Caenorhabditis elegans: one gene and its partner. The protein of the gene in region 1 purifies or fractionates together with the protein of each later gene. This does not show direct contact. Each region holds a gene or a part of one and is shown on either strand. Other genes may lie near its edges.

Region 1 (6,208 bases):
GCCGTCCATGTACCCAGTTGAGCCACTTCCATCCTTTTTCAGAAATGCTGACTAAGGCTGGAATTTGAGTTTTTTATATATGTAGAATTTTACTAGAAACTAGGAAACTACATTTCCGGCTGGTTTGGAGCACCGGGAGCAGCTAGGAGCTCCGTGAGCAATTTTAGAAGTGAAATTCGAAAATTTCAAAATTTTTGATATGGGGGTCAAATCGATGCAGAATTTTACGCTGAACAACATTTCAGTTGGCAACTTTTTGATAACTCTTCTAGTTTTTCAGTTATTTGCGATTTAGTCGGAAAACTATTTGAAAAACCTGAAATTTGCGAAATTCAGCTGAAATTTCTGATGTTCTCCATTAAAACATCTGCCTGCATGTTGCATTACCCTGGAAAAATTATTGACACTAGCGGGGACTCGAACCCCTGGCTTTTTTCACCATAGCCGTCCATCTACCCAGTTGAGCCACTTTCACCATTTTTCAAAAATGCTGGCTAAAGCTGGAATTTAGGTGTCCCTGGTGTAGAATTTCACGGTTATTTTGAATATCAGATTTTCAGCCAGTTTGGTTCACCGGGAGCAGGTAGGAGCTCCGCGAGCAGTTTTAGGTGTCAAATTCGAAAATTACAAAATATTCTAAATGGGGGTCAATTCGGTGCAGAATTTTACGCTGAACAACATTTCAGTTGACACTTTTTTGATATCTACTCTAGTTTTCGAGTTATGCTTCGAAAAAGTCATAATTTTCATTAAAAAATAACTTTTTATTGCAAATTTCAACACACACACACACACACCATAAATAAGAGCAATAAATGTGACATTTTACAGTTTTAAAGAGTTAATCGAATTTTCCACTTCCAGAAGTGGCTGCATGAAGCCACTTGTCCACAGTATGAACGTCGTAAGAGGTGACGAATTTGACACGGCGATGGGTGTGCTGAAAATTGGTTTATTAAACAAAAAATTGATAATATCTAGATTTTGGACTGTCTGAGTGTTGTATATCTATTGTATATAACATTAAAAATACTAATAAACCCAAAGGGATTCGAACCCCTGACCTATTTCACAATAGCCTCATCAATCTACCCACCTGAGCCACTTCGCCCCATTTTCAAAATTGCTGGCTAAGGCTGGAATTCAACCGTACCTGATGTAGAATACTACGGGGAACCCAAAAATCATGTTTTAAATAAGTTTGGAACACCATGAGCAGCTAAAAGCTCCGTGAGCAATTTTGGGTATCGACCTTGAAAATTTGAAAATTTTTTATATGGGGGTCAAATCGATGCAGAATTTCACGCTGAACAACATTTCAGTTGGCAACTTTTTGATAACTCTTCTAGTTTCCGAGTTATGCCTCAAAAACTATACAGAACCCCAGATTTTTTGTTTTCACCTGATTCGGAGCTTCCTCATTCGACCACAGTTGCTCGGTCCAATCAACCACAACCTGCCCACGTGTCTTTGTTCCATTCAGCTCTACATCGACATACAGGTACTGAGACTTTTTTGCAATTTTATCCTCATCGATTGCAGTAGCCACAGCGATCTCGTCGCAGTAGGAGTATTGGCGGCCGTTGGCCTCGCATTTTACGCGGCCTGGAACATACAAATCGAATTTAGGAACTCTAAAAAAAAAATGTACTTGTTGACTAATCTACAGACCTTCGAACTCTAAAAAAATTATTGACACACTAGCGGGGCCTCGAGAAGCCCGGACCTATTTCACCAAAGCCGTACATGTACCCAGTTGAGCCACTTCGACCCCTTTACAAAACTGCTGGCTAAGGCTGGAAGTTGAGTTTTCTGGGTGTAGGATTTTGCGGGTTATCCGAAAAACGAAATTTCAATACGTTTGAAGCATTGGGAAAGGCTAGGAGCTCCGCGAGCAATTTTAAGTGTCAAATTCGAAAATTTGAAAATTATCGACATGGGGGTCAAATCAATGCAGAATTTTACGCTGAACAACTTTCCAATTGACAGTTTTTTTTTGGTATCTAGTATCTACCCTAGTTTTCGAGTTATAACTTTAAAAAACCTTACCAATGCTGGTGGCCAGCGATAAGTAATTAGCCAATGGGGTTCCATACTTCAAATGAGCCGAAAAATCAACTGAAGCATCATGGGTCTTTGATTCAAAATAGAATGCCTCCCATGGAACAATGGTGATGGGACACTTCATACGTCGGAGCACAATGCTCGCGGCTTCCGGGTCTCCGTGGAAGTTGTACTCGGCTGAGGAACCTGGAAAAATTAGGGGGGCTTTTTGGGGTTTGACGGGTCTGTATCTCCGTCGGTTTTGGGTTTGTCAACAAATTGTTAACTGATGAAATGTTTGTTACATGTTTCTGAACAGGTTTATAGTTGAAACTTTTCTAATATCTCAAAAATGAAACGAGATATGGCCCGCCAAAGTGGTCCACCCTAGTTTTTTTTTTGAAGAACCTACCTCCATCAACATTTCCGACCGCGTAATAATTTCCTCCCATGATTACCAGCCGGGATGGGTACGTCGAAAACTCCTCGCAGAGTTGGAGAGCAATCGCCACGTTTGTGAGGGGACCGATGGTTCTGAAAAATGGTTTTGTTGAAAATTTAGGGAAAATTGAGCAAAAATAGATTAAAATCGAAATTTGACACCCAGAATAGCTCGGCGTAGGCGAAAATGTAGGAGGACTGTATGGATACTGTAGGAGTACCGTAGGACTTTAAAAGGGTAATGTTGAGGTACTATAGGGGTAATGTAGGGGTACTGTAGGAGTACTGTAGGGGTACTGAAGCGGTACTGTAGGGTTTCTGTAGGGGGTCTATTGGGGTAGGGTAGGGAAACTGTCCAGGTACCAGGGATACTGTAGGGGTACTGTAGAAATACTGTAGGTATACAGTTATGGTACCATAGGGCTTTAGTGGAATTAGTGTAGGGTTACTGTAGGGTTACTGTGTGTGTACTGTGGGGGGAACAGTAGGGGTACTGTAACACTATTGTGTGAGTACCTGTTCGGTTACCAGAGGTACTGTAGGGTTATGTAGGGGATCTGTTGGGGTACTGTCGGGGTACTATAGGGTTACTGTAGAGTTGCTGTAGGGATACTGTAGTGTTACTGCAAGGGCACAGTGGGGAACTGTGGGGATACAGTAACACTACTGCGTGAATACTAGAGGGGAACTGTCCGGGGTACCAGGGATAGTGCAGGGGTACTGTGGGGTACTGTAGGGATAGTGCAGGGGTACTGTGGGGTACTGTAGGGATAGTGCAAGGGTACTGTAGGTCGCTGTGGGGGTACTGTAGGGGTACTGTAGGGATGCGGTGGGGGTACAGAAGGGTTACTGTAGCCTCAACTTACACCAAAGTGGCATCCCGATTCTCTCTCAAAATATCGATTAAAGCAAGTGACGCATGCTTCCCCTCCCCCTCAAAATCGGATCTTTCGACTTTCGGGAACTCCTCCGGCTTATCACCGATCCCATCGATCCCGAAAAAATCGGATACGGTATCATCCTTCGGCAGCGACAAAATCGATTTAGCCGCACCCTTGTACACTGGGATATTGCTCCGATCGTTGGCTCGGATGGTTCTTTTGATGTTCGCACAGGCTTGATCTACTGTCACACAGCCGTGGACTGCGGTGAATGCGAGAATTTCGGCTTTTGGGTGCTGCAAGGCTAGGGAGATGGCTCGCACGTCGTCGCTTACACCGTCAGAGTCTGAAAATCGATTAATTTTTGTTTTTAAAGCTTAAAATTTGGTAAACTTTATGTAAAACTTTAAAAATCGATAAAACTCGCTAAGCAAGCGCGCTCCAGTGAACTAGTCCGTTTTCCGACGCTAATTTCAAATTTTCAAGTGTTTTTTGACGAAAATAAGTGGAAAATTTGAAGACTTCTTGTTTTTTTTTAAATTAGAATTCTCGTTTATCATCTGAAAATCCGAAAAAATCGATTATTGAAGCGTCTAGACTCGTTTTTTTAAATCGCCAAGCAATGCAATCACGCTCCAATGACAAACTCAGTTTTCTGGCGGGAAGCTCGAATTTTCCAGTGTTTTAACGAAAATCTTCGGAATTAATACGTTTTCGGTGTATTTGAACGTAGAAAAGTAGAAATTTTAAAAAAGAAAAGAAAAAACTCGAGTTTTAACGAATTTTATAGAATTTTTTACTCAAAAATTGGTTTAAATTTGTTTTTATTCTCCGTTTAACTCACCAATGACCAGCTTAACCTTGTCCACAGTCATGTTGTCTTTTTTCTGAAGAGCGTAATGTTATTAAAGTGAAAAAATTAAACTTAAAATAACTAAATAAATATATGAATTATTTCTCGTCGCAAAAAACGCAACATTTGGGCAAAAATCAATCTGTCACCTGAATAATGCACACAATCTTATCATTTTTTATCAATTCTTATCGCATTTTCTTCGATTATTCTCGCTTTTTCGCCGTAATTCCGCATAAATGCGATAATTCGCGAAAAAACTACGGTTTTTCTTAAAGGCGCATAGCTCAAAACTTCAAATAGGTCTCGCCACGAATTCAGTGATGTGAGGGATTCGATGGAATTTTGAATTTTTAAAATCGATTTTTGCGATTTCTAGACGGTTTTTCGCCGTTTTTTCGGAGATTTTTGACGAAAAATGGAGAATTTCGACGGAAAATCGATGCCGCCAACTCCGGTGCCAATCGGATCAAGTCAGGTAGGGCAAAAATCCGGAAAAATCGATACAATTCACAAAAAATCCGAATTTTTTCCAGTTCTACCGCTGGATGCCGCACCCGATCGTCGATACACCACCGTCAGATGCTACGTGGCGCAAACCGGTGCCACGCGGCCGAATTCGTGATCTCGTCGCCGCGTTCGATCAGTGCTCCGGCATGCTGGAGCAGAAGCCCCCACCTCCGCCCACGCAAAGGGTTGAAAGTCTTGAAAATGGTGCGGAAATCAATCGATAATTGAGAAAATCGATAGGGGAATGCGAAAAAACTGGAAAAAAATGGGGAAAATTGAGAAAAATTGAGGAAAATGAGAAAAAAAAACCATTTCCCCCGGTATTTCTCCTATTCAAATGCAAATTTATAAATTCACATGTATTGTTAATTTATTTGCACTGTCAACACACCAACTATACAGTTTTTACATGGAAAATTGATTTTTTAGAAAAAACAATCGGAAAATCCCAAAAGTTTTGGGAAAAATCCAGAAAAAATGGGATTTTTCGCAAGTTTTCGGATGAAAATTATGGTTTAAATTGAATTTTGAGTGGAAATTTGCAAAATTGGACTTTTTCAGAGAAAATAGTTATAATTTGCAAAAAACTAATTTTTAGAAATTTTTTTTTCCAAAAATTCAAAAAAATTTTTTTTTTCAAAATTTTCATTTTAATTGGCAATTTACCATTGAGTTTCTGGTGAATTTCGAAAATTTTCTCTAAAAAATCCTGAAAAAACGGAAAAACCTCTGGAAAATTCTAAATTTCCAGCAAAACCACCAAAATTGTCGGATTTTGTGTTAAAATTCTGTAATTTTCGGTGGAAAAATCGCTAAAATTTAGAATTTTGTGATTTTAAGCTAATTTTAAGGAATATTGTGAAAAAAATTAAATTTTTTAAGAATTAAAAAAAATTTCAAAAAATTTTTTTTTTTTTCAAAAATTAAAAAAAAATTTTTTTTCGAAATATTCACTTTTTATTGGGAATTTTACGAATTTTGAGCGAATTTTAAAAAAATTCCAAAAAACGATAATTTTTTTGCAAAAAAAATTTTTTTTCGAAAAAAAAATTCAAGTTTTTCCAACTTTTCACATTTTTCTCAAAAATGATCTTCAAAATTCGAAATTTCCCGCCAAAAATAACCCATTTTTCTTCCAGAACACATTGCTCCACCGCCAACTTCAAAATCCTCCAAAATTCCGGAAATTCTCGCCAAAAAATCGGAAAAATACATCTCACCGTACGAAAAACGTCATTTTCATGGTCGTCGTGGCACCCAGGCTGTCGTTTTTAATTCGAATAATGCTCAAAATGCTCCAAATGTGGGCGGAGCCTATCCATATGGAGCCACACCGTTGAAATTGCGAAATTTGGCCCAAAAAATGGATAAAGAGGAGCTCTACGTGGCTGATGACGTTGGAATTTCCAAAAAATCTGAAAATTTCGAAAATTCCGATGATGACGTGGCAAAGTACGAAAATTTGCGGCAAAAATGCTAT
Region 2 (3,899 bases), on another chromosome or scaffold:
TAGATCTACAAAAAATGCGGGAAACGAGACGCAGAGTTCTCAACTGATTTCGCATGGTTAAGAACGTGTTGACTTCACATTTTTTTAGGCAAAAAATTCCCGCATTTTTTGTAGATCAAACCGCAATGGGACAGATTGGCGCCACGTTTTAAAACCTGTGCGTTTTGCCGTAAGATTCGGTGTATCGCGTACTCTTAGGGCACAAGTAACCCGTAATGCGTCATATCTCTGAAAAAACAAAACTTTGAGCACTTTTCTTTACTAAAAACGTTTTTTTTTCAATTCTAACCCTGCACATTACAAGATTTTCAACAGAAAATTTGATAGCCAGGAAACAAATTTTCTTCTAATTTTTTTTTTTAATTTTCAGGTCGATAACTTCATGAAAGTGGCTGAAACTGAACGTCCGGCGGGTGGAAATCGATATCGAACATCTCAATACCCAAAAGCTACAAAATCCGAGCAAATGATTTTGAAAGTTACCTAAAAAAAGTTTGAAATTTTGCCAATTTTGCCAATTTTTCCCCAACCGTCCCAATGTATTTGTCTTTTTATATGTTTTTCAAATTTTATTTAACGAAACAATTTTCAAAAAAATACTCCAATTAATATTCTGTCTTGTCCGGTTTGTTGGACCACATTTGGAATGGGAGTAGGTAGTTGTCGGCTGCCAAATGCTCCAATTTTCGGATTTCATCGCTTTTCGGGTCTTTTAGGAAGTCGTGGAATGCTTTGTCGTCGAATCCAATCTCGGCCGCCTGGAAGAACTTGTTTTATTTGGAAAAGGTTTTTTTTTTTGGGTTACTGTGTCACCGAAAATACGCAGTGCACCAAAGCTTACGACAAAATGCACAGTTTTTTTTTAAATTGAACTGAAAAAAGGTGCAGAATTCGATTTTTTTAGTAAAAAATTTTGAAAATTACTTTTTCCAAGGGTTTCCACAAATTAATGAACTTGAGAAAATGCACAAAATTATGGATTTTTACAGGCAATTTCTAGATTAGGTCTATAACTGGTTTGAACAGATTCGGTAAAATTTCAAAAGTTTGTGATTTTGCCGTAAGGTCCGGTGTATTGCGTACTTTTGGTGCTACAGTAACCCAAAGTTTGAAAAATAACCCCGAACGTCACTAAAATTGATAAAAGCTCTTAAAGAGACAGTAATAGTGTAAAAAATTAGTTTTTATGAAAATCACCTGCTGAGCAGTTGCTCCGTAGTAAATTGCGTCGAATCGAGCCCAAAGGCATCCGCCCATGCACATTGGGCATGGATAGCAAGATGTGTACAAAATATGTCCAGATAGGTCAAAAGTTCCTGAAAACGTGAATTTCAATTAAAAACTTATCGAAAAAAAACGTCGAAAAAATTTAGCATTTTTTAACAGAAAAATAGTTAATCGTTGTTTTTTTTCAATTTTCAAAAATAATTTTAAACTATCTAACTTGTAAAATTATGTGAAAAAATTTGCTCTAATTCGAGAAAAAATTCTGCAACTTTTTTTTTGAAAAAAAAAATCCTAAAAATCGCAAAAAAATTTTTTAAGAAATATAGGAAATCGAGGTTGTAAAATTCAAATGTTATGTCAATTTATCACTAGATGCTCTAAATATTCGTGTGCCTACCCAATGCCTTGCAGGCATTCTTAATAGCAGTCATCTCGGCGTGCATTGTCGGATCCTTGGTGACCAGCACCATATTGTGGCCTTTTGCGACCACTTTCCCGTTTGAATCAACTACAACCGCACCGAATGGTCCACCATCTCCACACTCGACACCTCGACAAGCTTCTGCGACAGCTTCGGCCATGTGCTCAGCGTGATGGGGTGGGAGAGGCTTATCAGAGGCGGATGGGCTCATTTTATAGTAGGAGTTGGGGAAGGTTCTGAAAAAAAATTAGTAAGGTCTGACGAAGAAAGGAAATTTTCGAGGTGAGCAGGCGGGTTTTTGTTGAAAAAACTCCCAAAAAAGTAAATAAAAAATTCTAAAAATTCAACAAAATGCAACAAATTTTTCCCCCAAAAAACCCAAAAATTCGCGTCGAAAGTGGCAAAACGTCTTTGAAACAGGTCACGATCATCATCGTCTTATCACAAAGTGATCCCTTATCAGCGACGAGCTTTTCCACCCCCAGCTGCCCGAGCCAACCACGTGAGCTCCGCGAGCACTTTCTTTTTTTTTTTGGTTTTTCTGGTATGATGTCTGTTGTAAGATTATTTAATTGATAAGAAATTAAAAAAGGTTTTGATAAGAAAATTTGTGAGAAATGGAAGAAAATTGAAAATTTATGGGGGCCTAGTATCAGGTGAGAGAGTGGCAGGGGAAAGTGCAAGAGGTGGTAGATCAAATAATTAAAAACTGAAGCTTTTGCGGGGAACTCGGCATTCACCGCCAGCTTCTTGCCCAAGTTTCACCCAAGAAAAATTAACATGGATTAGAAGCTGGCCAAACTTGGGCAAAACTTGGGTAAAACTTGGGCTAAACTTGGGCTAAACTTGGGCAAGACCTTGGTGATTATAGATGCGAATTATGCCGCGCTTTTACTTTATTCTTTAGACGATTTCCTGTGGAAAATATTTATTTAAGGACAAAACATGAACAGGGTTAACAACAAAAATCAATTACAAAAAAAAAACAACGAAAAATTAAGCTTCAGTGGGTGGAGTCTTTGACCGATCGTCCAGCAGCGGAGACATCATGCTCATTGCGTTGACCGGTTGCACTGTAATGAAAATGTATTGGTTTATCGATTAAAAGTATTGAGTTACTTACAATCTGATAACTTCTTCTGGTGACGTTTCCATCCTCTGATGCTGTTCTCTGAACTTTCGAACCTGTCCCCACTTGAGATGATGCTCGCAATAAGATGGTTTATTGCAGTTGAATAGTGCTCCTTTGGCAATATCAAAGTGATATGTTCGAAGATTGTTCCTGAAATCATATCATTTTTTTTTACATTTTACAATTTTTACGAGATTTCTTACATTGCTTTGCCAAGGGCTTCTACTGCGTTCTTGAACACTGTGATTCTTTCGTCCCTACGGCGCTGAACCTCAAGTTCTGCTCCTTCTCCAAGCGTTTTGATGAATCTAGAAGAAATGAAATGAATAATTCAAAATTGTTTAAAGTTGGTTCATGTCTTACTCATGCTCCCTATCAATCGAACCGTATGACAGCTCAACCGGCAAATAAACTCCAACAATATCGAATGCGACTTCTGAAAAAAACATGATTTTGTGATTAGAAATTGTTCACATCTTAAACGCACCAATAATCGCTGTTGTCACTTTTTGTGGTAACTCTTGAAAATGTCTATCAACACGGCGAACACAGCTTGGTCGGTAAGTAAATGCCCAGATTTTATAAGAAGGCTCCAGCATCTGAATTGAATTTATTATTTTTATATATCAAAATGTCAACTTACAGTTTTCAAGGCAACCATATAGAAATTTGAAAGTTGCGAGACGGCATCACCTCCAATCAAGAGTTCAGAGTTATAAATATCTGTGAGATTACACGTAGGAAACCCGTCAGCTTGTGAAATTGTGTGGTTCATCGTAAGTGTTCGTTTCACGATACATCCAGCGTTCAACTGCTTTGAAATTTTCGATGTCAGGGTGTGCACGTTTGCTGCAAGTGCGGTGTAATTCCCATCCTTAGGATCCTGCATTTTAAACTGAAAAAAGTATTAGGATATGAAATTGATTAATTACGGCCTGCCATCATCATCTGTGCAATTTGAATAGACTCTTTCTCGTCTTCTGTAGATTGTCTGAGAGCCTGGACGAACTGTAGGATCGAGAAGTTTGGACGAGTTGTATGTTTACAAAATTCCTTAAAATTAAGATATTAAGATTAAATATTTGGATATTTTGGATATTTTGCACCTCTATCTGGATC

What was found.
Region 2: the proteins of Y43F8C.13 (region 1) and gda-1 fractionate together in Caenorhabditis elegans (co-fractionation; one large-scale study listed by BioGRID). This does not show direct contact.

The regions. Positions count from the first base shown.
Region 1 is NC_003283.11:19,693,147-19,699,354, forward strand, and holds Y43F8C.13 (Nucleoside hydrolase), read right to left. Parts: upstream 4,253-6,208; 5' UTR 4,241-4,252; coding exon 4,210-4,240; intron 3,712-4,209; coding exon 3,351-3,711; intron 2,578-3,350; coding exon 2,456-2,577; intron 2,251-2,455; coding exon 2,050-2,250; intron 1,606-2,049; coding exon 1,403-1,605; intron 941-1,402; coding exon 842-940; 3' UTR 754-841; downstream 1-753. Other genes in the region: ani-3 (Anillin-like protein 3), read left to right, coding at 4,637-4,696, 4,755-4,932, 5,868-6,180.
Region 2 is NC_003281.10:11,024,683-11,028,581, forward strand, and holds gda-1 (CMP/dCMP-type deaminase domain-containing protein), read right to left. Parts: upstream 1,885-3,899; 5' UTR 1,860-1,884; coding exon 1,625-1,859; intron 1,317-1,624; coding exon 1,198-1,316; intron 759-1,197; coding exon 606-758; 3' UTR 557-605; downstream 1-556. Other genes in the region: putative voltage-gated potassium channel subunit kvs-4, read left to right, coding at 371-487; Y48A6B.8 (Wsv161), read right to left, coding at 2,652-2,721, 2,772-2,930, 2,984-3,088, 3,144-3,216, 3,268-3,379, 3,424-3,675, 3,720-3,833, 3,887-3,899.